4 linked regions of the Canis lupus familiaris genome follow. The protein of the gene in region 1 binds, or shares a complex with, the protein of each later gene. Links are inferred from orthologs where the notes say so. Each region holds a gene or a part of one and is shown in the gene's direction. Other genes may lie near its edges. The genes, in order: PPP2R2A, RBL1, ARPP19 and PABIR1.

The links.
Region 2: the proteins of PPP2R2A (region 1) and RBL1 are in contact, whole or in part, in a cryo-EM structure (PDB 9C6B), measured with the Homo sapiens proteins. The link is inferred for Canis lupus familiaris from reciprocal best matches to the Homo sapiens genes PPP2R2A and RBL1. Residues at the interface, in NP_002708.1 of Homo sapiens: Lys88, Tyr178, His179, Asp197, Leu198, Met222, Glu223, Glu224, Leu225, Thr226, Glu227, Val228, Ser247, Arg278, Ser279, Phe280, Phe281, Ser282, Glu283, Ile284, Ser287, Tyr337, Phe343; in NP_002886.2 of Homo sapiens: Ser615, Pro616, Leu617, Met618, His619, Pro620, Arg621, Val622, Val625, Arg626, Ser629, Leu632.
Region 3: the proteins of PPP2R2A (region 1) and ARPP19 are in contact, whole or in part, in a cryo-EM structure (PDB 8TTB), measured with the Homo sapiens proteins. The link is inferred for Canis lupus familiaris from reciprocal best matches to the Homo sapiens genes PPP2R2A and ARPP19. Residues at the interface, in NP_002708.1 of Homo sapiens: Lys18, Gly19, Ala20, Asp23, Asp24, Asp29, Ile31, Thr45, Asp47, Gly49, Arg51, Val53, Phe55, Val73, Thr76, Gln78, Glu81, Pro82, Glu83, Phe84, Leu87, Lys88, Ser89, Glu91, Glu93, Tyr178, His179, Asp197, Leu198, Asn221; in NP_001293124.1 of Homo sapiens: Lys42, Pro43, Gly44, Ser46, Phe48, Leu49, Arg50, Arg52, Leu53, Lys55, Lys58, Tyr59, Phe60, Asp61, Lys75, Pro93, Asp97, Leu98, Pro99, Pro103, Leu105, Val106, Ala107, Ser108, Lys109, Leu110, Ala111.
Region 4: the proteins of PPP2R2A (region 1) and PABIR1 are in contact, whole or in part, in a cryo-EM structure (PDB 8SO0), measured with the Homo sapiens proteins. The link is inferred for Canis lupus familiaris from reciprocal best matches to the Homo sapiens genes PPP2R2A and PABIR1. Residues at the interface, in NP_002708.1 of Homo sapiens: Phe84, Leu87, Lys88, Ser89, Leu90, Tyr178, His179, Asp197, Met222, Glu223, Leu225, Thr226, Glu227, Val228, Tyr337, Asp340, Phe343; in NP_612206.5 of Homo sapiens: His81, Ser82, Ser83, Arg84, Leu85, Ile88, Lys89, Glu92, Arg99, Glu100, His103.

Annotation. Positions count from the first base shown.
Region 1 is NC_049246.1:31,379,916-31,386,935, reverse strand, and holds part of PPP2R2A (serine/threonine-protein phosphatase 2A 55 kDa regulatory subunit B alpha isoform), read left to right. Parts: intron 1-2,695; coding exon 2,696-2,861; intron 2,862-7,020. UniProt on the Homo sapiens protein: Substrate-recognition subunit of protein phosphatase 2A (PP2A) that plays a key role in cell cycle by controlling mitosis entry and exit. Involved in chromosome clustering during late mitosis by mediating dephosphorylation of MKI67.
Region 2 is NC_049245.1:26,289,145-26,296,164, reverse strand, and holds part of RBL1 (retinoblastoma-like protein 1), read left to right. Parts: intron 1-4,388; coding exon 4,389-4,655; intron 4,656-5,463; coding exon 5,464-5,675; intron 5,676-7,020. UniProt on the Homo sapiens protein: Key regulator of entry into cell division. Directly involved in heterochromatin formation by maintaining overall chromatin structure and, in particular, that of constitutive heterochromatin by stabilizing histone methylation.
Region 3 is NC_049251.1:18,488,229-18,495,248, reverse strand, and holds part of ARPP19 (cAMP-regulated phosphoprotein 19), read left to right. Parts: intron 1-3,929; coding exon 3,930-4,052; intron 4,053-7,020. UniProt on the Homo sapiens protein: Protein phosphatase inhibitor that specifically inhibits protein phosphatase 2A (PP2A) during mitosis. Inhibition of PP2A is enhanced when ARPP19 is phosphorylated.
Region 4 is NC_049222.1:89,250,298-89,258,054, reverse strand, and holds PABIR1 (protein FAM122A), read left to right. Parts: upstream 1-3,510; 5' UTR 3,511-3,625; coding exon 3,626-4,489; 3' UTR 4,490-6,142; downstream 6,143-7,757. UniProt on the Homo sapiens protein: Acts as an inhibitor of serine/threonine-protein phosphatase 2A (PP2A) activity. Inhibits PP2A activity by blocking the substrate binding site on PPP2R2A and the active site of PPP2CA.

The DNA of each region.
Region 1 (7,020 bases):
GAGTCCAGCTCTCTGCAGTCCATGAAGTCAGTCTCCATTCATGCATCTTTTTTATGGTTTCTTCTCTTTGTTACTACTGCTGTCATATCTGCTGCTGTTCTTTGTTCTTGTTGATTTGTTTTTTAAAAATTCTTTCACTGTAATTTTAGTAGAGTTTAAGGAGTATGGATATTAATATACAAGTCCAGCCTGGCATCTCTAACTTGTAGGCATAACATTCTTGTGTAGTGTATTCTTTTCCTCTGTTGAAAAGAAACATGCTTCTTGAAATCCATTAAGACTGCTAATCTCTAATCGCCTCTATGATTCTGTTTTTGCATTCTTTAATAGATGTTTAGACCATGTGGTAATTATTGAGTCTTTAGGGTGATGGGGTTGTTTTGTTCATTTGTTTTAGAGGGTGTGTTCCTATGTTTGTGTTTTTCTTACCATCTTTTATGTTGTGACCCATATAAACCCAGTTTTTGCATAAAGAACTGTATGTGTTTGCCTTTCGTTCTCTATATCGCTTACCTGAATCAAGTGGACCTACTTTTTTTTTTATTAAACTAAGGTTTTAGTAAAACCTTACACAAGTTACTTAAAGGTAGAAGTAGGTTTTAAATCTCTCTATAGGGATCCCTGGGTGGCGCAGCGGTTTGGCGCCTGCCTTTGGCCCAGGGCGCGATCCTGGAGACCCGGGATCGAATCCCACGTCGGGCTCCTGGTGCATGGAGTCTGCTTCTCCCTCTGCCAGTGTCTCTGCGCCTCTCTCTCTCTCTGTGACTATCATAAATAAATAAAAATTAAAAAAAAATAAAAATAAATCTCTCTATATTTGTAGGACTTGATGTACACAGTGCTGTAGTTTCTTAAGCTCAAAAAACAGCATTCATATTAAAAATTGAATTGCTGTTAAGGGTTTTTTTTGAGAGTAGCACAACAGACCTTTAGAAACAGTAATTTTCGGTAAAAGATTTATTGAATTTCTTATAAAGCAATAGTAGCGTATACATATTTAATAGATTAGGTTATGTGATTTGGCATAAAACTGTGGTAAAGAGGGGCACCTGAGTGGCTCAGTGGTTGAGCATCTGCCTTTGGCTCAGGTCATGATCCCCAGGGTCCTGAGATCGAGTCCCACATTGAGCCCTGCTTCTCCCTCTACCTCTCTCTATGTGTCTCTCATGAAGACATGAATAAATAAATGAATAAATAAATAAATAAAATCTTAAAAAAAAAAAGAAACTGTGGTAATGAGACTAGGGGTTTTTTTTTTTAATTTTTATTTATTTATGATAGTCATACACACAGAGAGAGGGGCAGAGACACAGGCAGAGGGAGAAGCAGGCTCCATGCACCGGGAGCCCGACGTGGGATTCGATCCCGGGTCTCCAGGATCGAGCCCTGGGCCAAAGGCAGGCGCCAAACCCCTGCGCCACCCAGGGATCCCGAGACTAGGGTTTTAATCCCCAGTGGGGATTATGTTTTTTGGTATGCCTTGCATTCTTAATATTGGCAAACTCAATAATAATTGATACTGCTATCAGAGGGTTCAAATATAACTGGAACCATGAATGACCAAACCAGATAACCAAGCTGCTGTACAAAAACAACCCAAAACAAGCTTTTAAGGTGATGATTCACTAAGGTTTTCTTTTATATGTAGAACAATAATGAGCCATTCTTTTAATCAAGTCATCTTAAACATTTCATTTGATAAATTCACTTTTACTTTTGAATAGTTGGCTATCAGTAATATCTTTCCTTTAAACTATTTTTCCATAGGTTCTTCTTTGAACTAGACTTTTAATGTTTTTGACGGAAAGATTTTTAATCATGTGATAATAGGTTAAAAGGTGAAATTCTCTCATGGTTATAATTCTCACTTTTGTGAAGATACTAGTGTTAACTGAAGAAGTTGACAAGTAGTTGCTTTAGCTAATAGTTTAAACTGTATTCACTTACCCAGATACTAACTGAAATAAATCATCAGTGTGTGCTAGGCTCATAAGGCTAACTTAAGGAGAGGAAGAAATTGTCGATGGGTTTGTGGGGTGAGGTTTGCTGGGTAATGCTTTATGTGAACTTAATGAGTCACAGAGCTCTGTAACTGTGGTCTTGGGAGAAGCTGGGGTCAGATGATACTATTACATTGATGGAGTTCTTAAATAAGAGTTTTTCAGCAGTGACATGACCTAGAGACAGGCATGGGAAAGGAAGAGGAGGAAGACAATACATCCAATAAATAACTGATTTATGGTTGACCCTACAGTGGACAGAGAAAGTGTGCCGCAGCCAGCTGTTTTCTAACAAGCTTTTATTTATTCTTCCCTTTTAATTTTTTATTTTAATTTTCCCTTTTTAAAAAGGTGAGCGCCCTCATTAAGGGTGCTTAGATTTTTTTTTTTACTAGTAGTCCTCTACTATTTATTATATAATGATAAATTAGTAATCAGATTGATCAATATTTTAATGTCATTTTCCTATTGAATTGGGCTCAGGCTTTTTATTAAGCTTTTCCATTTTTTGTGAGGAGCTGTTTTATTTATTCCTAAAGGCCTTAAATATTTAAAAAAAAAAAAACCACTATAGTTGTATTTAAGATGCAGGTAATTAATTAACCAGAATTTGCAAGGTCTGTTGGAATTGATTGCATGTTTATGTTTTGAAATATTTCTCAACAATGGTCCAAATATTTTTGTTTCCATTTTAGAACAAAATCCAGTCTCATAGCAGAGGAGAATATAATGTTTACAGCACCTTTCAGAGCCATGAACCAGAGTTTGACTACTTGAAAAGTTTAGAAATAGAAGAAAAGATCAACAAAATTAGGTGGTTACCCCAGAAAAATGCTGCTCAGTTTTTATTGTCTACCAATGGTAAGTGTTAAATTTTTTTCCTTTTATATGCCTTTTATATATGTGTGTGTACATATATCCTGTACAATACTTAACTTTTACAAAGAGGAATAGATGTTCAGAGAGTTCTACAAATAGACACTTGGAAATAGACGTCTTCCCTATACATGATGTGTAAATTCTTCTTTGTCTTCCCTTTTTTCTTTTAGTTTTTAAATTCTATGAAAAAGATCTCAGGTGTCCATATTCACTTGGTATATACACACTCTGTAGTGAAAAAAGAGGACTTTACCACTGGATTTTAGATCAGGTACCATTTGTGCCACATCTTGGTTTAGTTGCCTTTGGCACATTATAACACAAGTCAAATTTTCCTCATCAGCAAACTGATGATGGTAATAATGTAATAGTATTGTTATGGGTAGTAAATGTGATATATATGATGATGATGATGATGATGATGATGATGATGATGATGATAAATGCCCCAAGCAGATGTGTTGGGACATACATAATTCACGTATTGGGATATTTGTTCTTAGTAATTTTGGCAGTTCACTTCTTACAGGATAAAGTATTTTTCTTTTTAATAATGGGAAATGTTTAAAATAAAGGCTGAACTAGAATAAGAAAGTCCTATGTACCCATCATCCAGCTTTAGCACTTCTCAGTTCGAAGCCAGTTGTTTGTTCAGGTACTTCTGCTTTCCCTCCTCAGTATTGTTTGGGAACAAATCCCATTTCGATTCATTTATGGATTAAATCTTAATTACCCCTCACTTCTCTGTTCATACTTGCATGTGTGTAACCAGATGAGCCTTTCTAGACAGTAAATTCTACAAACGCTCAGTAGAGGGAGAGGCCCTGGGAATTCTAGTCGTTGGGTCTTAGGTATGTGATCCTATCCTGTGTAGTATTTTCTATAGACAATCAACAGTGTCTCCCAAATAGATATACCATGTGAATTTTTAAGTCATTGATTAATAATACAAATTATTTTAAAGGGCACTACACAGTGCATTGTAGGTTTCTGTCTTTTGTTGTTACTGTTAATGAGCACTAAATAAAATACAATTATTTGGGGCTACATTATTTTTTTGTGATAAAAAACAGAACCCACTGTACAAGAATGATACAAGTGGGAATTTTACAGACTGTTGTGTCTGGATGTGGTGGGATGGGAAAAGGATGGAAGGAATAGAACTTAAGCTATATCTGGAGAGCTTTATTGTTTACAAAGAAAGAAAATAATGGGAGAATGTCAGTATCTCTTAAATCTAAGTCATAACTTTATATTATCTGGTATGTTTGCCTCTGTAAGATTGAGAATAACAATTCCTCTTCCCCTACATGTAACAGTCCTTTTGGCTCATAAAAGATGAACTCCTAAAGGGAGGTGGTGGAAAATAGCATGAAACATCCCCCACCTTTGATTGACTAAAAATAATCTCACTTTGGTCTTATATGGATTTCCCATGGTCATCATCAACCGTCCAGTGTTTCCCAGGTCATTTTTATTCACAGAACTTCACAGTGGCCTCCTTACAATTTTGGTTCATTTAATTTATCTTCACGTAACTTTATTCTCTTTCATCTCCTTTTGCTTTCTCAGAGTTTTCCACAATTCTTCCACATTGCAAAATGTCCACCTCTAACCTATTGACCGTGGATCTTGAATATATGAGTAATACAGAGTTTACCAGTAAATACCTTGTGTTTTAACAGCTGTTAATAAGTTTTTTAATAACAAAGCTACATTCATTCCCACAAGGAAACTTGGTAGATGGTTTTCCCTGTCCTACTCTCTCTTTATGGTGAGAGAAACACTGGGACTTTTGGACTTCTGGAATACTCTTTACTCATTAGTATTGACAATGTAGGGAAACACCATAGAGCACTCTTAACCTTTTGGAAATGACAGATTTCTTTAAGGAATCCAATAATACTCTTACAGAAAAATACATATATTTACATAATTTTGCATGTAGTTCTATGGAGTTTGATTATTGTCACATACTTCTAGTTGGCCAAAAACTACAGTTAATTAAATCACTACTATAGAGCTTAATTTTGACTTTTTAAAAATTTGTCCTAATTATTAAAATATTTTATTTCTGACATGCCTTGTTTCCAAGCATTGCACTGAAATTGTATAGTACTTTTCTATCCTGTGTTTATGCTATTAAGTTTTTTAAACCTCTTAAGTGACAAATTTTATCACATAAAATTTTTTTAAAGTGTAGCATATTTTTAAAAATCTGTTTATTCAGTTCTTCGTGATTTAAAAAAAATTAATTTTCTTCCTAAAACACTATTAGAAACCACAAACTAATTACATCTTATTTGAAAATTTTGATAAGTGCATGGTGATTTATCTGGACCTTTGGTAAGGATGATGAATTTGTACAGGGCACAAGGCAGTTATGGGGGTTGGGTGAAGGGAAGCTTTTCATCCTTATTTTTAGATACTCCCAAAATAATGAGTTTAGGCTTGACTTATTAATAACATTTGGGGACAAGTAAAATATCCTAAAATATATAGATCTTTACCTAACTTATATTTTATATGTATATCTATAAAATAAACATAGTACATAGAAAACACAACTTAACTTCATGATAATTCTAACCAAGATCACTAGGGTTTAGATGAAATATTAGATTACAAGTTAGTAAAGTTAGCAGTTCTTTTCTGCTTATACTCCTCTTTGTAAAGGTTATTCGCAGAGGTAGCTAGCATGCTCTTCACCACCAGGCGGAGAGAGGTGGCAGGGCTACAGGAGTCCCTGCTACCTCTCTATATGATAAAATTTTATAAAGTATCTCTATACGCTATTTTTAAAAATTGTACCAAATTGCTCATGAAAGGACCATTAAGAATGATAATGAATGCAATTTTAGGATTATAACACAAAGCATTAAATAAACATGCATGAGTCTGTAATGATTTTTTTTGTAATGATTTAAATAAACAATTAGTTGAATAAATAAGCAGGGAGGGGAGATGCTTCTTACAGGAGAATTTCAAATAATATTTGGATGGATGCTTCTCCTTATAGGGACTGTAACTTGGTTCTTCTTTAAGTGTGGACTGGACTTAGAGATTCATTTCCAAAGAATAGAGTATGAGAAGGGGGAAATTAGTAACTGTGCAATGGAGAAATCTGGCAGATACTGCCTTAACCAAGTGAACAGAATTATCATCACCAGTGGAAAAGTAATGTTGATACCATGTATACCTTCTTTTCACCTCTGGTATTCTTCCTAAAAACCCAGTGATCCCAGTCTGATCATGAGAAAACCGCAGATATACCCAGTAGAGGGACATTCTTTAGTACTTTACTGCTGCTTCTCAGAACTGTCAGGATGACGAAAAATAAGAAAAGTCTGAGAAATTGTTAAAATGAGAGAGACTAGGGAAACTTGACAACTTAATACACTGTTGTTTGGATCCTGGCATAGAAAGGGATGTTAAGTAGAAAACCTGGTGGATTCTGAGTAAAGTCTGGAGTTCAGTTAGTAGTAACATACAATGTTAATTTCTTGGTTTTAACAATCATACCTGTGGTGGCGTAAGATGTTGACATTAGAGGAAATTAGATGAAAGGTATAATGGAAACACTGCTATCTTTGCAACTTTATTGTAAGTCTAAACTTGGTCCAAAATAAATGTTCATTATAAAAATACTATTTTATATATTCTTGATACCCACAAATTTTGTCTTAAAAATTTGGGGACATAGCTTTATTTTATTAATTATTTTAAAGATTTTATTTATTTGATAGAGAGCCAGAAAGCATAAACAGGGGTGGGGAGAGTGGCTAGCAGAGGGAGAAGTAGGGAGCTTGATGCAGGGATTGAACCCAGGGCCTCAGGATCATAACCTGAGCTGAAGGCAGGAGCTTAACCAACTAAGCCACCCAGACACTTCAGGACATAGCTTTAATTGGTCTTTTTTTTTTTTTCAGACTCTGATGCCAACTTGACTTGAATCCTTAATACAACAGGGAAGGATTTAAACAGAGGCATCCAGTCTGTAAAGGAATTTGTTGAGTCTTTGGTAGGATCTGCTAGGAAGTATGGGACCAAGGGAGATAGATACTCCTCTCTCATTTTTATTCTAAATTATAGGCTATCTTAATAAGTCTGCCATTTATTTTCTTTTAAAACTAAAATATTA
Region 2 (7,020 bases), on another chromosome or scaffold:
CTGAGCTGAAATCAAGAGTGGGATGCTCAACCAACTGAGCTACCTAGGTGCCCCAACATACAGCTTTTCTAAATGCTAATGGAAAATTCTGTGAATAAGCAAAATACCTACTTTTCAGATGTGACAAAAGTTATGTTCTTTTTCCATGTATGTCTCTGTAGAAAGATAAATATTTGAAGCAGAGGGGCACCTGAGTGGCTCAGTTGGTTGAGCATCCACCTCTTTTTTTTTTTAAGATTTTTTTTTTTAAGATTTTATTTACTTATTCATAAGAGACACAGAGAGAGAAAGGCAGAGATAAAAGATATAGGCAGAGAGAGAAGCAGGCTCCATGCAGGGAGCCCAATGTGGGACTCAGTCCCGGGACTCCAGGATCACACCCTGGGCTGAAGGCAGGTGCTAAACTGCTGAGCCACCCTGGCACCCCTAATCTTTTGATCACATATCCCTGAACTAACTTTAGATGAACAAGTATTCATTTTTCACATAGCTCTTGATCCTTTTTTGGACCATAATTGTGTGTGCGTGCAGGCACATGCATAGTCTTTGCTTTACATCTAGTGCTAGATTATAAAAATGTGCAAGCTCTGCATACAAAACAATCTTCATAAGCAATGGAAATGATTAGGATTATTTTATGATCTTTAAGAAATTTTACTGGGTGCCTGGGTGGCTCAAGTTGAGTGTCTGCCTTTGGAGAGGTTCATGATCCCAGGGTCCTAAGATCAAGCCCCACATTGGGCTCCCTGCTCAGCAGGGAGTCTGCTTCTTCTTCTCCCTTTGCGCCTCTGCCCTGTTTTTGCTCTCTCTTGCACACGCTTTCTCTCTCTTCCTCAAATAAATAAGTTAAATCTCAGGGCACCTATGTGGCTTAGTGGTTGAGCTTGTGCCTTTGGCTCAGGTTGTGATCCTGGGGTCCTGGGCTCAAGTCCCACATCTGGCTCCCTGTAGGGAGCCTGCTTTTCCCTCAACTTATGTCTCTGCCTCTTTATGTGTCTCATGAATACATAAAGTCTTTAACAAAAAAATAAGTAAGTAAAAAAAAAAAAAAAAAAAATAAGTAAGTAAATACGTAAATGTAAAGTGTTTTTTTTTTTGTTTTGTTTTTTTGTTTTTTAAGATTTTATTTATTCATGAGAGGCAGAGACACAGGGAGAAGCAGGCTCCATGCTGGGAGCCTGACCTGGGACTCAATCTGGTTCTCCAGGATCACGCCCCGGGCTGAAGGTGGCGCTAAACCGCTAAGCCCCTGGGGCTGCCCCTAAAGTCTTTTTTAAAAATGCAACCAAGAGAATCAAATAATGAAAAAATCCTTAGAAAACAATTAATATTGAGCCTTGACTCTGGGCAGAAGAAGACAATTAATTAATTTGTATATTTATTAGTTGTTCACTGTAGCTTTTCCACAACTGGGCTAGGAAAAGATAATTTGAAGGGGTTTACAGCTAACTTCATGGCTATAATGTGAATCCTCTATTGAAATGTCAGCTTTTAACATTTCTAGTCAGATTCAACAGCTGCCTTAGATTTCTTGTGTGTAAGGATCCAGGTTGGGACGCCTGGGTGGCTCAGCCGTTGAGTGTCTGCCTTTGGCTCAGGGCTTGATCCCAGTCCAGGGGTCAAGTCCCACATCGGGCTCCCACTTGGGAGCCTGCTTCTCCCTCTGCCTGTGCCTCTGCCTCTCTCTGTGTGTCTCTCATGAATAAATAAATGAAATCTTTAAAAAGAATAAGAAAAAGGATCCAGATAGACTCCCATTAGTAATGGGAGCTACAATAAAACTTAATACTTTCTACTGAGGTTGGGAAATCAGAGCCGCTTTCATAAGCCCCAGAATTACAGAGAGATTTTTGTTAAACCATGACTATTTGTCCACTTACCTCATTAATACAGAGAGCTGTCAAATCATTGCCAGAAGTAATCTTTATACCTCGTAAGCATGTTTTGAAAATATATTATATGGCTGTCTAGTTATCTAGTGAATGTAAAAATAAATAGTGAAATGTTTTTTATTTTCTTTAACATTTACTTATTTAAGTGATCTCTTCCATTCTGGGGCTCAAACCCAAGACTCCCAAGATCAAGAGGCCCATGTACCACCGACTGAGCCAGCGAGGTGCCCTGAAATGCTTTCACTTAAAAAGCATAGTATATGAGTGCCTGGCTGGCTCAGTCAGTGGTTTGGGGACCTCTTGATCTCAATTGTGAGTTTGAGCCTCATGATGGGTATAAAAATTACTTTTAAAAAGTTTTAAAATAGGGACGCCTGAGTGACTCAGTGGTTGAGCATCTGCCTTCAGCTCGGCGTGATCCTGGGATCCTGGGATTGGGGTCCTGGATTGGACTCCCTGCAAGGAACCTGATTCTCCCTCTGCCTGCCTGTGTGTGTCTCATGAATGAATGAATGAATGAATGAATAAATAAATAAATAAAATCCTTTTAAAAATTAAAAAAATAAAAAGTTTTAAAATAGGGAGGCTCAGTGGCTCATTTGGTTGAGCATCTGCCTTGGGCTCAGGTCATCATCCCGGAGTCCAGGATGGAGCCCAGTGGCATTGGGTTCCCTTCTCAGTGGGGAGTCTGCTTCTCTGTCTGCCCCTCCCCCCACTTGTGTACTCTCTTTTTCTCTCTCAAATAAGTAAAATCTTTTCCAAAATAAAAAGTAGGGGCGCTCAGGTGGCTCAGTGGTTGAGTGTCTGCCTTTGGCTCAGGTCGTGGTCCCAGAGTCCTGGGATGGAGTCCCACATCAGGTACCCCCCGGGGAGCCTGCTTCTTCCTCTGCCAATGTCACTGCCCCTCTCTCTGCGTCTTTCATGAATAAATAAATAAATTTTTTTTAATAAAAATAAAGAATAAAGGGGCGTCTGGAGGGCTCAGTTGGTTAAGCATCTGACTCTTGATTTTGGCCCAGCTCATGATCTCAGGATCATGAGATTGAGCCCTGCTTCTGCTCTGCACTGGACTTAGAGCCTGCTTAGGGTTCTTATTCTCCCTCTCCTGCTCCTCCTCCTGCCCCACGTGTGCGTGCATGCGCGCTCAAATAAATCAATCAATAAATAAATAAAACTTAAAGAATAAAAAAAAATTTAAAGAATAAAGCATATCATATTCCTGTAAAGAAACAATGGATTGGGGAAGGTAAGGAAGGATTAAAGATGTAGGATTGTAAGGGGCTAGGGGAACCTTTGCATTTGGTAGAGAGGGAAAGCTGCTCCTATGGAAGGATAGCATTGAAAATAGATATAATCTATAACCTAACTTTATTTTTGATCAACACACTGCCAACCCTCAGATTAAGGCAAGTTAATCATATCACCTTTATGTATCTTTATCTTCTAATGGGCTTATAAAAGATGATTCTGTACCTACTAAGTGAGAAAGCCATAGTACCTTAAACTGCTTATGTGTGGGCATATTGGAAGAAGCAAAACTGTGAACCAAATCACTGATTTTCCTTATTTACTAGATAAAATTGAGGGACAGAAGCTAATTGGACTACTTCAATTTAGTGGTCACTTCATTCTACCTCTCAACCTCTACTTTACCCTTAATGTTTTGCTCCTTTTTTCCTTTTTAAAGATTTTATGTGGGCAGCCCCGGTGGCGCAGCAGTTTAGCACTGCCTGCAGCCCGGGGTGTAATCCTGGGGACCCGGGATTGAGTCCCACATTGGGCTCCCTGAGTGGAGCCTGCTTCTCCCTCTGCCTGTGTCTCTGCCTCTCTCTCTCTCTCTGTGTCTCTCATGGATAAATAAATAAAATCATTAAAAAATAATAAAGATTTTATATATTTATCCATGAGAGACACAGAGAAAAGGCAGAGACATAGGCAGAGGGAGAAGCAAACTCCTCGCAGGAGCCCAATGTGGGACTCGATCCCGGAACTCCAGGATCATGCCCTGAGCCACCCAGGTGTCCCTTGTTTTGCTCCTTTCGTAGTAGGCAGGAGTTTGGGAAACCAAGAAGATGAGTTATCATAATTTTCACATGTAATGACTTTTCATTCTTTCACTAGATTTTCTTATATTTCATGAAGACAGAAGCCATGTTATTTACTGCTAAATCCCTAGTGCTTAACATAGTAGCTCAATATCTATTTTTTGAATGAATGAGTATGATGCATTATTTGGGAATATGATCAAACTGTTTTAAATTTATTTTTCTGGGATCCCTGGGTGGCACAGCGGTTTGGCGCCTGCCTTTGGCCCAGGGCGCGATCCTGGAGACCCGGGATCAAATCCCACATCGGGCTCCCGGTGCATGGAGCCTGCTTCTCCCTCTGCCTGTGTCTCTGCCTCTCTCTCTCTCTCTCTCTCTCTGTGACTATCATAAATAAATAAAAATTAAAAATAAATAAATAAATAAATAAATTTATTTTTCTTTCTATTAGATATGCAACCATTGTCTCCAATTTCTGTCCATGAACGCTACAGTTCTCCTACTGCAGGGAGTGCTAAGAGAAGACTTTTTGGGGAAGACCCCCCAAAGGAAATGCTTGTGGACAGGATCATAACAGAAGGAACAAAATTGAAAATTGCCCCTTCTTCAAGCATTACTGCTGAAAATATATCAATTTCACCTGGGCAGAGTCTTCTAACTATGGCCACAGCCATAGTCACAGGGACAACAGGACATAAAGTTACAATCCCATTGCACGGTAACATTTTAATGCCTTTATCTTATATTTTTTCTGAATTGGTTAATTAAGATTTGTCTTGCTGGATTGGATCACGTGGCCTTTTTAACCCAGTTTCTTTTGAACCTATACTATTTTTTTTTAATTTATTATTTTAGAGCAGTTTTGGGTTCACAGCAAATTGAGTAGAAGGTACAGGGGTTTCCCATATACCCACTGCCACACATACACAGCTTCCATCACCATCAGCATCCTGCACCAGAATAGCATATTTGTTAACAATGGATGAACCTACATTGACACATCATTATTATCCCAAGTCTATAGTTTACATTAGGGTTCACTCTTGGTATTGTACATTGTATAGATTTTGACTAAAGTTTAATGACACATATCCACCATTATAGTATTATACAGAATAGTGTCATTGCCATAAAAATCCTGTTTCCATCTTTTGTTTTTGTTTTGTTTTGAACTTACACGGTTTTTTGAATTTTCACATTTTAAAAATTTACCATTCTTTTTGTTAAGACTATTTTACTTTTTTATCTGAGCTTTATGAATGAGTTGCAAAAATCTTGTTTCTTGATTAAAAACATCTCCTTTAGAGTTCAAAAGAAAACAGTATTTTTTCAGAGCAGAAATAGAAAACAAGGGTGTTATAACCTAGAATTAAAAAAAAAAATCTAGAATTAATATTTTTGTGGATTTCTTCTCCTTTTCTCACCTATTCCTATGTTTATACATAGATAGTTAAAGATAATTGACAACCTTTCTGGAACACATGCAGCTTATTTCTAAAACTGAAAACTCTTGTTTATATGTTTAGGTATTGCAAATGATGCTGGAGAAATCACACTGATACCAATTTCCATGAACACAGCTCAGGAGTCCAAAGTCGAGAGTCCTATATCACTTACTGCTCAGTCATTAATTGGTGCTTCTCCGAAACAGACTCATCTGACTAAAGCGCAAGAGGCACATCCAACTGGAATAAGCAAACCAAAGAGAACTGGTTCTTTAGCACTGTTTTATAGAAAGGTATGTGATTTTATGGCATCCAAAAGATCTCATTTGGGGTGCCTGGCTGGCTCAGTCAGTAGAGCATGTGACTCAATCATAGGGTTGTAAGTTCGAGCCCTATATTGGGTATAGAGATTATTTAAAAATAAAATGATCTCATTTAATCAGTGCATCTATTGAGTAATAGAGCACCTTTAGCATTCTCTTTTGTGTGTATGGTAAAATATACATAATATAAAATTTATCATTTTAACCATTTTTAAGTGTACAGTAAAGTTTCATTAAGTACATTCACATTGATACACAGTTTTCACCATCATCCATCCCAGAACATTGTCATCTTCCTAAACTGAAACTCTGTTCCAATTACAATAATTCCCCATTCCTCTTCCCACCACCAGCTCCCGGCAGCCACCATTCTTCTTTCTGTCTCTATGCATTTAACTATTCCAGGTACCTCATATAAGTACAAATATGCATCCTTTTGTAACAGGGTTTGTTTCACTTAGCATAAGTCTTCAAGATTCATCCATATTATAGCATCATTCAGAATTTCCTTTTTAAGTCTGAATAATATCCCACTGTATTTATATATCACATTTTGTTTTTCAATTCATCCATACATGAACATTTAGGTTGTTTCTACCATTTGGTTATTGTGAATAATGCTGCTATGAACATTAGTGTACAAATATCTACTCAAGTCTCTGTTTTCAGTTTTCTTGTATATATACCCAGAAGTGGAATAGTAATTCTGAATTTAATTTTTTGAGGAACTGTCATACCATTTTCCACAGTGTCAGCCCCATTTTATATTCCTGCTATAGAGACGCCTGGGTGGCTCAGGGGTTGAGTGTCTCTGCCATCAGCTCAGGGCATGATCCTGGAGTCCCGTGATGGAGTCCTGCATTGGGCTCCCTGCATGGAGTCTGCTTCTGAATCTGCCTGTGTCTTTGCCCCCCTCCTTCTCATGAATAAATAAATTCTTTTAAAAAAACAGTTTTATATTTCTGCTACCATACATGAGGTTCCAAGTTCTCCACATTCTTGTCAACTCTGTTTTCTGTTATTTTTTAAGATTTTATTTATTTATTGATGAGAGACACAGAGAGAGAGGCAGAGACATAAGGCAGAGGGAGAAGCAGGCTCCATGCAGGAAGCCTGATGTAGGACTCCATCCCAGGACCCCAGGATCACACCCTGAATCAAAGGAATACAGATGCTCAACCACTGAGCAACCCACATGTCCCATGTTATTTTTGATAGTAGCCATTTTAATGAGACTGAAGAGTGGGGAGGGCACGTTCGTGGCTCAGTCGGTTAAGTCTCTGCCAGATCATGATGGCAGGGTCCTGGCATTGAG
Region 3 (7,020 bases), on another chromosome or scaffold:
ATAACTAAAATACCCTTGAAGAACCCCAGTGAAGTCCCAATCGTAGTGGAGATAGCCCTATCAGTTCTCAATAGGACATGTCACTTTTTTTAATCTAGTGGTTGAACAGATACCTGGACTGATTCTTCAGTTAATTGACAGCTGAGGTGTAGTAGATTTCTAGGGGCTGAGTTCTTAAACACTAGAATAATAAACGGAACACTGATACACTTCAACTCTGAAAGAACCCCAGGATTGAGATCATTATGGGAATGGCAGGTTTGCATCACACACCTCACATTTGAGCTCTCTTTGGGGTCATACTCTTCTTTTTAAAAATTTTTTTTTTAATTTTTATTTATTTATGATAGTCACAGAGAGAGAGAGAGAGAGGCAGAGACATAGGCAGAGGGAGAAGCAGGCTCCATGCACCGGGAGCCCGATGTGGGACTCGATCCTGGGTCTCCAGAATCGCGCCCCGGGCCAAAGGCAGGCGCCAAACTGCTGCGCCACCCAGGGATCCCATGGGGTCATACTCTTCTTGAATGGAATGACTGGCAGAGTCACTGATACTATTTAGAGGCTCTGTCTCTGGCAGAGCACACAGAGTTGAATTTTGTGTATATCAAGAAAGTGATATGACCACTTAAAGAGACTGAAAATCTAAATAGATACATGAGACTGTAGCATAAAAGGAGGAAGGTAGAGCACTTGAAGCAGAAGGGGGAGCACACAATATAAAGGAGGCCCCATAGAAAAAGTATATTTGACAGCAGCTGCAGCAGCATTAATCTCAAGATATTCCAAGACTAAAAATGAGATGTTGTAACACATGAGGAAGCTGGTCAAGATGAGGGAAATACTGACAATGTATAAGGTCAACAAAGCTAATTATAAAGCATGCATTAATACAATTTTGAGGAAAATGGATGGAAAAATCGTAAGTTATTTTGGGCATAAATGATTTGCTTGCTGTATAGGAACAGAAGGCTTGGCATTTATGGATATTCATTCATTTTTGACATTCATAAATAACCTGGAAGAATTTTTTTATATAAATTTATTTTTTATTGGTGTTCAATATGCCAACATCTAGAATAACACCCAGTGCTCATCCCATCAAGTGCCCCCCTCAGTGCCCGTCATCCAGTCACCCGCACCCAACCTGGAAGAATTGAGATATGCAAAGGTATGTGATTTTGCCTGGCTGACATACAGAAATGAGTTCATTAGCTGGAAGGTGCATTTTGTCTTTGCCCAGCATTGCCTATCAGGGCAGCTTTGTTTTTCTTTTTTTTTTTTTTTTATTTTTTATTTTTTTTTTATTTTTATTTATTTTTATTTATTTATTTTTTTTTTTATTTATGATAGGCACACAGTGAGAGAGAGAGAGGCAGAGACACAGGCAGAGGGAGAAGCAGGCTCCATGCACCAGGAGCCCGACGTGGGATTCGATCCCGGGTCTCCAGGATCGCGCCCTGGGCCAAAGGCAGGCGCTAAACCGCTGCGCCACCCAGGGATCCCAGCTTTGTTTTTCTTGATTGATTGATTCTTCTTCAGTACTTACCACAAAGTGATAAACATTGCTCCCCTATAAAGTATGGTTCTTGGGGGGAAAAAGTAGACTATATCAAGACTGCTGTTAAAAGTGAGTAGGTTTGGGATTCCTGGGTGGCTCAATGGTTGAGCGTCTGCCTTTGGCTCAGGTCGTTGATCCTGGGATCCAGGGATCGAGTCCCATATCAGGCTCCCCATGAGGACCCAGTTTCTCCCCTTGCCTGTGTCTCTGCCTCTCTCTCTGTGTTTCTCATGAATAAATAAAATCTTTAAAAAAAAAAAAAGTTAAGTATGTTTGGGGCACCTGGGTGGCTCAGTGGTTGAGTGTCTGTCTGCCTTTGGCTCAGATCCTGATCCCAGAGTCTTGGTATCGAGTCCCACATCAGGCTCCCCACAGGGAGCCTGCTTCTCCTCTGCCTATGTGTCTGCCTCTCTCTCTCTCTCTCTGTGTGTGTCTCATGAATAAATAAAATCTTTAAAAAAGGGGGGAGGTGGGTTTTAGTGGACTCAGCCTTTCTGTCCTGTGGCTCTACCTTGTGGATGGGGATTGGATCCACTTGGAAGGGGAATGAAGAGCTTGAGAAGAGGAGAAAGAATAATGGGAAGGGACAGGACCTTTTTCAACTTGACAAGTAGTTTCTGTTGACCATGAAGGACACTAGGACACTCCAATCACTAGAGTCTGCAGCTGGGATCTTGGGAAAACTGACAAAAGTCAATGCAAGAAAAATGTCCCTTCTTAAATGCCAGTAGTATGAGCAATCATACCGTATAAAAACCTAATGTAGGTACAACCACCATGTCCTGAAATGAGACACAACTATTTGAAAGGACTGATCTATTCCCAGGACTGAGACTGATTCACTGGGTTATGGGATAATTGACCTCAGTTTCTGAACCATGAAATTTCTTGGGAAACTTTCAAATAGAAGAATGCTACCCAAAGTACGGCACTTTGGGATTTTGATATTATAAGCTGAAGGCATCTGAGAAATAGCATGTGCAGAAAGGACTTTTGGCTTTCCCCTGAAGCAGATAATAAGATCCGCAAATGAGAGGTGCCTTCTGTATAGCTGGAGGAAAGGAACTCCCCTACCTTCAAAGATAGAGGGACACAAAGAAGACTGAACAAATAAGCCTTGCTCCTTTCCTCCATTTACCACTCTCAGCTCATGTTCCTTTTTGTCCTGTCATATTTTTTTCATTTTCTCTCTACTTTTGATTAAACCTAGTATAAAAATGAGGTTTAAACATATCTTTGGTCTTCATGTTTATGAAGCCTCCTGTATCACATAAAATTTGTATTAAATGTGCTTTTCAAAAAAATTGAGTGAATAGGCTTTGGGGCACTTGGTTGGCCTAGTTGGAAAGCATGCAACTCTTGAACTTGGGGTTATGAGTTCAAGCCCCATGTTGGTTGTAGAGCTTACTTACAAAAAAACAAAACAAAACAAAAAAAAAAGGGCACCTGGATGCCTCAGTTAAGCATCTGACTTCAGCTCAGGTAATGGTCTCAGGGTCCCCTGATAGAGCCCCATGTCAGGCTCAGCAGGGAGTCTGCTTGTCCCTCTCCCTGCTGGTGCTCTCTCTCTCAAATAAATAAAATCTTTTAAAAGAAAAAAAGAGAATAGTCCTAAAATATTGATAGTCATTTGGTTAGAAAACACATTTTTGATACATTGAAGAATGGTACCTTTGGTATGAGCGGTCTGTCATTAAATACAGGGGGAAACTAGGGAATAATATACACTGATAGGAAGATTGACAAAGATACTTCTCTTTAAAAATACCAAGGCTGGGTGGCTGGCTGACTCAGTTGGTGGAGCATACAACTCTTGATCTTGGGATTGTGAGCTTGAGCCCAATGTTAGGTGTAGAGATGACTTAAGAGAAATAAAAATTTTTTTTTAAAAAGGTCTTCTATATTGAGTTAGGGAAAATCTTCTGGTAAATAAGTTGTTAATTCCTATTAAAGAATCTCAGTGCTTCCAATCATACATGAATCTGGATTAACAGATCTTTTTGTGTTTTAAGAGTATTAAGATGGTTCTCTGAATGCAGGCAAAGAACTGATGAGTTCCATGGAAGGTGACTAACTATAAATGTATTATACATGACTGGAAAGTAATGGCAAGCAAGCCTTCAGAGCTGAGTTATCTTGATATTTTTATCCAGTGTGTGGGGTGTACACATGCATCACAGCTATAATAGAGCTATCACATGGATCATTTGAAAAACAAGACAGAGATGTTTTAAAAGCTTCTGTGCTTGATTTCTCAGTCAGATGCTGCAGTATTTGGCATTCGACAACTGAAGTCCAGATCTAGATATTAAAAGGTGAATTGTTTTAAATAAGTAAATTGTAATAGACAAGTTATTTTAAATTATTTCAGGAAATGGAAGATAAAGTGACTAGTCCAGAGAAAGCTGAAGAAGCAAAATTAAAAGCAAGGTATCCTCATCTGGGACAAAAGCCTGGAGGTTCAGATTTCTTAAGGAAACGATTGCAGAAAGGGGTAAGTTCTCTATATGATCTTCAGATGCTTAAACCCTATGAATTCAGTGTGCTGATTGTGATTACAAAATGGGTGTCTGTGTACATAACTCTGTATCTTACCAGATATATAGATACATAATTTTCCTATATTTTATACCTTTTATTGTATAAATACGTATAAGAATGAACAACTCATCACTTATTTAACTATAAACTATTTTAAACATGTGGAAAGTGCAGATAATAATATAGCAGAACCCATGTACCTACCACTCAGATTTAATATGTTAATATTTTGCCATATTTACTTCAGTTTTATCTTTGTAAGAAAGAAAATGTTGTAGATATAGTTGAAACCTACCACATGTGTGTAAATATCCTTCTTTCCCCTTCTTTCCAAAAGTTAGGACTATCCAGAAGCTGGCATTTATCTTTCTACTCATATATTTTTTTTAACTTTTACCTGTTTTAAAGATGATTTCCATGCCAGACTAAAAATATTTTTTATTTGGATGAAATCACTTATGTAAGCAGAGCTTATTATCTCCTTTACATAATACATTTTACAGTTACTCTAATACAGTTTATACATGGTAATTTTAGTAGTTCAAATTACTGAAAACATTTTTTCAAAATCTTACCAATTCTTTGTGAGGTAGAAACCATTTAATGCTCAGTAATGAGATCTGAATTGAGATAATGCTACTTGAACAAGATCCTTAGGTTTTCTTTTTTGACCTCTTTGTGAAAAATCAAAGGATTCCATCTTTTCTTTTCTTTTTTTTTTTTTTTAAGTAACTTTATTTACCACACAGGGAACAGGGAAAGATGAAGAGAATTATTAATTGAATCAGGTGCCAAATCATGTTTTTCCTTAAGTAAATACCTTGAACACTTGAACATACTGGTATCTGCTGTTTGGTTAACCAACACCTATCCATGTGTATGTGTATGTTTATATGTATAGGTATTGGCCATAGCTATACATGATTATTTTCTCAAATTGCAAAAGGATATTGTTTTCCAGCTTTATTGAGATACTGTTGACATATATATTGTGTAAGTTTAAGGTGTACAGTGTGATGATTTCACAACATACATGTTGTGAAATGTTTACTAGTAAGGTTAGTTAACACATCCCTTACCTTACATAATTACCATTTTGTTGTTACGTGAGAACATTAAAGCTCTACTCCTAGCAACTGTCAAGTATACAATGCAGTATTGTTAACTTACTGTATATTAGGTCCCTGGAACTTAGTCGTTTTATCATTGAAAGTGTGTGCCTTCTGACCAGTATCTCCCTATTTCCCCCACCCCTCAGCTTGTGGCAACCACATTCTGCTGTTTTTACACGTTTAATGTTTTTAGATTCCATATGTAAGTGAAATCATACGTTCTTTGTTTTAATACCGGGAGAGTATGGTAAATGTGGCACCTGGCTGGCTCATTCTGTACAGCATGTGACTCTTGATCTCCAGGTCATGAGTTCGAGCCCCATGTTGAGGGTAGAGGTTACTTTAAAAAAAAAAAAAAAAAGCTCGCCTAATAAAAATTCTAGCAATTCAAAATAAATACATAAAAACTTAATTTTAAAAGTGGTAAAAAGTACAGGTTTTTTTTTTTTGTTTGTTTTATATGAAAGAATAATGTTCACAGCTTTGAAATATTATTTCAAAGTTAGGAATTCAAAGGCAGGTAGGAATTATACCAAATATATAAAAAGGTAAAGTTTCTGGGGGCACCTTAGTGGCTCAGTCAGTTAAGCAAGCGTCTGCCTTGGGCTCAGGTCATTATCTCAGGGTCCTGAGATTGAGACCTGTGTCAGGCTCCCTGCTCAGTGGGAAGCTTGCTTCTCCCTCTACCTCTTTTTTTTTTTTTTTTTTTAAAGATTTCATTTATTTATTCATAGAGATGCAGAGAGAGAGAGAGGCAGAGACACAGGCAGAAGGAGAAGCAGGCTCCATGCAGGGAGCCTGATGTGGGACTCGATCCAGGGTCTCCAGATCATTCCGTGGGCTGCAGGCGGCGCTAAACCGCTGCGCCACCAGGGCTGCCCTCCCTCTACCTCTTCTCCCTGCCCTACGTGTTCTCTCTCATAAATAAATAAAATCTTTAAAAAAAAGTAAAACTTGTGTTCATGAGAAGTAATTCAGTGGGAAAATTATTACAAAAATGATAGTTAATATCTATAGTACATAAAAGGATTTTTCAGATACTCAAGAAAAACATTAAGGTGCTCCTAGATAAAGAATTTTAGCAGGAAAAATATCAGGTGCAGAAAAATGTTTATCCATGATGGAAATCTGTGAAATGTACATTAGATCATATACCATAGTACAATACAACAAAATTAGAAAAATACTTACAGTAATACTGGTGAGGTTGAAGTTGAATATAGTTAATATTCTCTTTGTTGAGTGGAGCATTTAAAATTATTACTCCTTGTGGGAAGGGATATGGATCAAGATTTATAAAGGTGTTCATATTCTTTGAATAATCCCTTGAGGGATTCAGTATAAGGAAAACGTCTTCAAGTTTGAAGATATTTATAGCTTTATTTATTTTTAAAGATTTTATTTATTCATGAGATAGAGAGAGAAGCAGAGACACAGGCAGAGGGAGAAGCAGGCTCCATACAAGGATCCTGATGTGGGACTCGACCCTGGGACTCTGGGATCACACCCTGAGCCAAAGGCAGATGCTCAACCGCTGAGCCACCCAGGCGCCCCTATTTATAGCTTCTTATTTTATTTTATTTTATTTTATTTTATTTTATTTTATTTTATTTTATTTTATATTTTATATTTTATATTTTATATTATTTTATTTTATTTTATTTTATTTTTTTAATTTATTTTTTAAAAAGATTTTTATTTATTTATTCATGAGAGACACAGAGAGAGGTAGAGGGAGAAGCAGTCTTCCTGCAGGGAGCCCAACATAGGACTCGATCCCTGGTCTCCAGGATCAGGCCCTTGGGCTGA
Region 4 (7,757 bases), on another chromosome or scaffold:
GAGCCACGAGTAATAATTTAATAATACAAAAATTAGCATTATGCTGTGACTATTAAAAAGTTCCATAATTCATGCTTTTTTCTATTTATCCTATATTAATTTACTTCTGAAGGCTCTTCCTCATCTCTCTCCTGTTTTTATTCAATAAGGTACCATTCTTTCAGCCACTCATGCTTGAATTTGTCATTTGTGACACCTCTCTCTCCATCCTCTATAAATGCAAGGAGTCGGGTACTGTCATTACCTTCCTGTCTCTCAAATCCATCTCCTTTTTCTGCCGCTCCCAACTTGAGCTTAGACCTTCCTTTTGTCTCGCAGTTTAGCCATCAGATTCTCCTTCTCTAATCTGTGAGAAAGGCAGCAAAAACAATGCAGGTTTTGAAGTAGGACCTTAATTCAGATTGGCTCAGGTCTTTGTTCTTCTGTGTAGCTGTAGGGCCTGTTGCAAATTTTTTAAAGAAGATATATTTATTTTAGAGAGTGAGCAAGAGTGAGCACAGGGAAAGGGGCATAGGGAGAGGGAGAGTCTTAAGTAGACTCCACATTAAGTATGCAGGGCTCAGTCTCATGACCAAGATGACAACCTGAGCCAAAACCAAGATTCGGATGCTTAACCAACTGCACCACCCAGATGCCCTCCTTTTGCCATTTTTTAACCTCAGCTGTCCTGCTATAGAATGAGCATAACAATATCTAATTTGTAGGATTGCAATGAGGATGCAGTGGGACTGTGGAGTGTTTAAAGTGCCTGGCAAGTCGTGGGTGTTGGTTCTTCCCCCTTCCATTCTTCGACTTCACTCCATCATTGAGCTGTCTGGCAGGTCCTAAAGTATAGTTCTCATAGCGTCATTCCTCTTGTCAGAAAGTTTCCACGGTTTCCTGTTGCCTCAGATGTTAAATTTGGGTCCTTTTGGCTGGCATTCAGAGCCCCGGTTCTCTCACTCCCACTTCCATTTCCAAGTTTTTCCCCATTATTGTTCTTCTCCACGTACATCACATCATGTATTAGCAAATTCACTATTTTGTCATGCTGTCGCATCTCTATGAAAAAGACCATCGCTCCATAAAAATCCTACCTATCCTTTTTTTTTTTTTTAATTTTTATTTATTTATGATAGTCACACAGAGAGAGAGAGAGAGGCAGAGACATAGGCAGAGGGAGAAGCAGGCTCCATGCACCGGGAGCCCGATGTGGGATTCGATCCCGGGTCTCCAGGATCGCGCCCCGGGCCAAAGGCAGGCGCTAAACCGCTGCGCCACCCAGGGATCCCCCTATCCTTTAAATCCTGCCTCAAGTACTGTTGCCTTTGCAAAGCTAAGAATCTGGAAGTGGCTTCTCCCAATTCTAAAACATCATTGCCCTTTTAGGAGGCAACATGGTGCCCAGGCTTTCTGGAGCCAGAACGCTCAGATTCTGCCCTTTACTCTCATCCTGGGGACATTGCTTAATTTCTGCATCTGTTTTCCCCTGCAAAATGAGGACAATAATACCTCCTTGAAAGGGCTGTTTTGAGGAGGTAAGTAATAAGGTACTACACGTGAAGCCCTTTAAATAGTGTCTGACACCTGGCAAGCTTAAATCAGTTTCTATATAATTATAAGCATGACTAATCAACATTATATCATTAGGACCTGTACTTCACAGGGAATTCAAACGAAAAGCTATTCTGAGATAACAGTGGAAAAAGAGGCATAGACTAGGAACCTGGATCCTAGTACTGGTTCGCACTACTAAACAAGCTGTGTGATGGTGAACGTCACTTTTTTTTCCTTCAGCTGCAAAAAGAGAAGAATGAACAAAAATCACTAAGCTTTCTTTCGGTTCAGACAGCCACATGGCTGTCCGATAGCCACCTGCAACTCACATCGCCCAAGGGAGAAGTCTTAATTCCCACCTGTTGAAACCCACTCCATCCCTATCTCCGTAAGTGACCATGCTGTGTATCCAGCGGAAGCAGGAAACCTAGGAGTTGCCTTTGAATGGCCTGTTCATTTCATCATCTAAATCCAACCCATCTGAGGCCTGTCCTGTTGGTTCTACTTCTCCTTGTCACCACGGCTACAACCCTAGCCGGGTCCTCTGCCTGCGCCTCGGCGGTCGGTTCCTCATCGGCCTCTCTGCTCCCACCCTTGCCTACTTTCAGCCTAATTCCCACCCAGCCCAAGTGATCTTTAAAACCTAAACCAAAAGAACACCACTCTCCTGCTTTAAACTCCCCAGTGGCTTTTCATTGTACTTGGGATGAGAGATCCAGACTCCTCTGCGCCCTCACAACCACTCTCCCCCCTGCCCTTTCTTCTCTTGGCGCCAGCTCACCAAACTGACATGTCTAGGGCTTTACTAGCACGTGCTGTCTTCTGTGCTTAGAGTATGCATCCCCCAGATGTCAGCGTGACTTGCATCTGGAATTTAGATCTCCGTCCTTTCTAATTGCCCGCCCCCCCTTTCTATCAGTAGTGCTCTATCACACCATCTTTTTTTTTTCCCCCCTTTCCTAAGGTTTACCACGATCTGAAAACAGCTTTATTTATTCATCTCTCTCTTTCCTTGCAGTAGAAATGAAATGCCCTCCTATTAGGGCCTCCTTCCTACCAGTGCTTAGTGCATAGTAGGTATGCAAAAACAAAACAAACAAAAAACCCCAAACCGTGATTTTCATGATACCAAAATTTATGTTAATTGCCTAAGCTGAGTGTTGTGTTTTTAGAGCGTGAAGCCCTCTTACTTTTGCCTCCGTTTAAACCCTCGTAGGGAATGAAGATGATCTTGGAGCACACATGCTCGTGCTGGAAACGGGACTAAATTAAGAGGGCTCCAGGGACAGGCTGGCTTTCGCTCCGGGGCCTCAACAGCCTCCCCCTCTCACCCCCCACCCCTGCTTCCAGGACTGCCTCTCCTCCGGCCTCCCTCCTGCTCCCTCCTGCTGCTTCTCCTCTCCCAACGACCCCATTCCCTGCAGACAGCAGCCTGCAGGCTTCGCTGCGGGGGTTACACCCTTTCCTTGACCCCACCCCCCCACCCCCCCCACCCCCGGAGCTTTCATTGTTCTTAGGATCAGGGCCCGGGCCACCACCTCCACCTCCGGCAGGCCAGCCCCCCCCCCTCCCCCGGTCCCCGCCGCCCACCGCGCTTCCCCTTCCTGGACGCCCCGCAGCCCGCTCCCGTTCCGTGTCCTCCGGAGGTCAGGAGACGGCCCCTTCCTCAGGGAAGCCCTCCCTGCTTAGGCCAAGCTCCGCTCCCCTTCGTACGGCCCCCGCATCGCCACCAGCCTCTCTGTCAGAGCTCTGCTTTGCTACACCCAGACTCCGGGGACTATGGTGACCTTCGGAAGCCGCGTCGCCGCGAGCTTGCGGCTCGGTAGTAGTAGCTAATTGCGGAAGAAAAGGGCTGAACGGCCGCCGCCGGGCCCCTCGGCGCCCCTCCCCCTCGGGCTATGACGCATTAAGCAGGCGCCGCGCGGAGAGAAATCTCAGGGCGCCTGCGCGGAGGGGCACGCATGCGCAAGAGGACGAGCCCGCTGACAGATTGGCGGCGGCGGCGGCGGTGGCCCCAGCCCTGGCCCTGGACCGCGGGGAATGGGAATCCCAGGTCTCTGAGCGCCGCCCCCGCCTCCCTGCCCCCGACATGGCTCAGGAGAAGATGGAGCTAGACCTGGAGTTGCCTCCGGGTGCTGGCGGGAGCCCGGCGGAGGGCGGCGGCAGCGGCGCGGGCGGGGGCCTCCGGAGGTCTAACAGCGCCCCCCTGATCCACGGCCTCAGTGACACTTCGCCGGTGTTCCAGGCCGAGGCGCCGAGCGCCCGGCGGAACAGCACGACGTTCCCGAACCGCCACGGCCTGCTGCTGCCGGCCTCCCCGGTCCGCATGCACAGCAGCCGCTTGCACCAGATCAAGCAGGAGGAGGGCATGGACCTCATCAACCGAGAGACCGTCCACGAGCGCGAGGTGCAGAACGCCATGCAGATAAGCCACTCCTGGGAGGAAAGTTTCAGCCTGAGTGACAACGACGCGGAGAAGTCCGCCTCCCCGAAGCGCATCGATTTCATTCCGGTGTCACCAGCGCCGTCACCCACCCGGGGGATCGGGAAGCAGTGCTTTTCACCATCCTTGCAAAGTTTTGTGAGTAGCAATGGATTGCCTCCGAGCCCTATTCCCAGCCCAACGACTCGGTTTACTACCCGGAGAAGCCAGAGTCCCATCAATTGCATTAGACCAAGTGTTCTTGGACCACTGAAAAGAAAATGTGAAATGGAAACTGAGTATCAGCCAAAGAGATTTTTCCAGGGCATCACCAACATGCTTTCTTCTGACGTTGCACAGCTGTCAGATCCTGGCGTGTGCGTATCGTCTGATACCCTTGACGGAAACAGCAGCAGCGCCGGATCTTCTTGTAACTCACCAGCGAAAGTCAGCACTACCACCGACTCTCCTGTGTCGCCTGCCCAAGCGGCCTCTCCATTTATTCCAGTAGATGAACTTTCATCTAAGTGATTCACCCTCCCATCCCGAGACTCGTTGTTTTCTGTTTTTGTTTTTGTTTTTGTTTTTTTTTGCAATGGAGAGAAAAATCAAGTTGGAGCAAGCACTGAACTTTGTCAATTAATTTGAGGCTATTTCCTATTCGACCCTTTCCTTTTTTTTTTTTTTTTTTTTTTTTGGAATTTCCTGAGATGTTGTTACTCTAGAGAACTTTTATGTCAGGTTCCTGCGGGTGCCCTTGAATTCAGTGTAGTGATATTTTCAGACGTTTTCCAATAAGTGTGTTGAAGCATACGTCTTTATGCTGCTAATATGTTTAAATACATATGTTATCCCTTGATTTTTTAAAATAATCGAGAGCTCTATTTATTTATGGGATTATTAAGTTCTGATGCAAATATAAATGTTGAATTAATCAGTATAGTAAACTGATGTTTTAAAATTCCATATTTCATGCCCACACTAATTTTTGATGTTATTTTTCCAGTGGTCGCTAATTTCTATTTGATGGAGGATAACCTAGTTACTTACAGCGGTTTTTAAAAATATGTTAGTTATAACATAGTGATCCAGTGGTTGTCTATTTTACCCAGGAATCCTCGGATATTTAATTTTCTGGGTACACAAGTGGCTGTGAGGGGGGAATGATAAAAACAAAATATAAAAGTTTGCAACAAGTCTTTTTAAATTAACTATATAAAAGTAAACAAACGCATTTTCTAATGAAGTTTTAATAGTAATTCTAATAAGTCATGCCAATATAACTACAGAAAAGTTTAAAAATTTTTTCTAGACCAGAAAGTGCATTCTCTTGGGTATAATCCTGAAGGGACATGGGACAGTGCCTTGCAGTCTTAGCCCACTGTACATAGGCTGAGACCAGGTCCTTTGTACCACTGCAAACTTAAAAGTTTCTCAGATGTAGAGAATGTGGGAAGCCCTGTTGAACTTCACCAGAGCACCCAGGCAGATAAAAATCTCTCAATCATTGATATGCTTTAAAATATCCAATTGTGCCTCAGTGAAAATCCCTGCCAACAAGGAGCCAGAGCAACTTTTGGCTGCTTTTCTGCTCTGCCCATCTGTTACCTTCCTGGTTTTCCCTGGCTCAGGAAGGAAGCCGCTGTTTCCTTGCCAACAGGTCCTTCCTCTCCACCTCCCACCAAACTAGGGCATCATCGGTTAGACAGAGGTACAGTGTGACTTGGATTTCCGACAGTGAGCAACAACAGAACTGTGGAATTGTTGCAGGAACCTGTGTAGTTAAAGCCACAGCTGGATTTGACTGCCTTGGGGATGCCAGTTGATTAAGGGTCAGTGACTTGAAAGAGAAAAAAAAAAATCAGTGGAGAGTCACATAGGTAAATCGTTATTTAACTTAGATTTTGTTAAAGGTAGAATTGTGAAATGTTCTTTTCTTTGCCTTTTACAACTAAGACAAAATATGAAAATATTTAATAACAAATGTTTTTATATTATACCTTCCTATATCTTCCTTTACTAGATAGGTAGAAAGAATGGCAGACAAAAAAAGGGGAAGAAATAAAAGAGACCAAGACAAAAAGCTCCGGCTTTCTTTAAGTAACTGCCTACAGAGACTTTAACAATTATGTGGAATTTTTTTTTACAACTACGAGAATAAATGGAACTAGTCAACTTTTGAAAGTTGCCTTAAGAGTTCAATGAAACTATGTTGAGGGTAAGATTGTGTCCACAGGCTTAAAATTCTCTGTTCTGGGTAATAGTTCATGTGTGCCAGTCCTGACCTTGTTCCTCCAGTATGTCCAACTTCCTGTTGGGTACCTTGATCTGCTTCCAGACGTACTGTAACCTCAGCATCTCCAAAACAAAAGTTAGTATCTTTTCATCGAACCTGTTCTTGAGTTACCTAAATTGATGTGCTCGCTGATTTTCTAAACGAGAAACCATAGAAAGCGTTTTTGACTTTCCCCTTTTCCCTGTCACATCCAGCGTGATCACTCAGTTCTGTCTACTGAAGTGAACCTGAGACCTCTCCGCTACACTGCTTCTGTTGCCTCTGATTCAGCTTAGGTTCCAGCCTAAGTGATTTCCCACCTCCCCTCTGGCCTGGTCTTCACCCCACCTCTAAAGTGATCTTTCTGATATATAAACTTGATTTTCCCCCCTCCCGCTTGAAAACTCGATGTGCATCCTCATTTCCCACGGTGTAGGGAATGCTTTCTGTAACCTGGCATATAATACTGTCCTTCGTGAACCGGGCATATTGTAAAACAGCTTCACAGCTCTGCTCATCCTACCCCGACACACATCCTTCCTTCTTACTCTGCAAACACTAGACTACTTGATATTCTTTAAATATGCCATGTACTTTCATGTGTTGTGCCTTTGGATGGATTGTTCTTTTCCCCTAAAATGCCATTCCTGTCCTTTTCAGCCAGGCAAGTGCTTTGTTTCTTTTTTTATTGCATGTTAATTTAACTATGAAAGAATGTATACCTGCTGATTATAAAAGTATTTAAACAATGCAGATACCTATATAGTAAAAACTGCAAGTCTGCCTTTTACTATGTAAAATTCATCTTCCCTTCCTGTTGCTAATTTCTGTTAATTCAAGATATACTGTATAAGATGTTTTACCCCTCATTTTCATGTATATATGTATATAAATTCAGGAACCACCACGCCCTTGACATCTCTTCCTTTTCTTTCCTCCGAATCTTCTCCAAGTCTTAGTGATTTTCTTTTCCAGAATCTATTACTTTGTTTTCATCTCTGTTGCCACCCCAACCCAGGCTACCATTCATTTCCCTCCGAGACTTCTAGCGTAATTCCCATCTCTCCCTCTCACACTGTCTCTGGTAGGCTGTCCATTCATTCTCCATACAGCAGCTAAAGTAATCCTCTTAAAATTGCATATCTGATCTTCCATCGCCCAGCTTAAGGCTTTTCATTTGCTTCCTGTTATGTTTGTGGTATACCAAAATACTAATTCTGGCCCGGGAGGCCCTGGGGGATCTGACCCTTGCCCCTCCTTCTTGTTTTCTGTACCCCACCCTCACTGGCTTGCTTCCTTCTCATTAAATACATCATCTTCTCTCCCATATTAGATCCTCTTACCAGATCATTTTCTCTGAAGGTACAGGGAAACCTTCACATCCATAAGCTTATTTTTCTATATAGGTGGTAAATTTTAAATCAGATGAGGCTCTAAGAGTTTATGTAGACCATTTACATTGTCATATTATTGTTCATAAACTTAGTCTATTACTTTGTAGACTGTAAGGGCTTAGGTCACGTG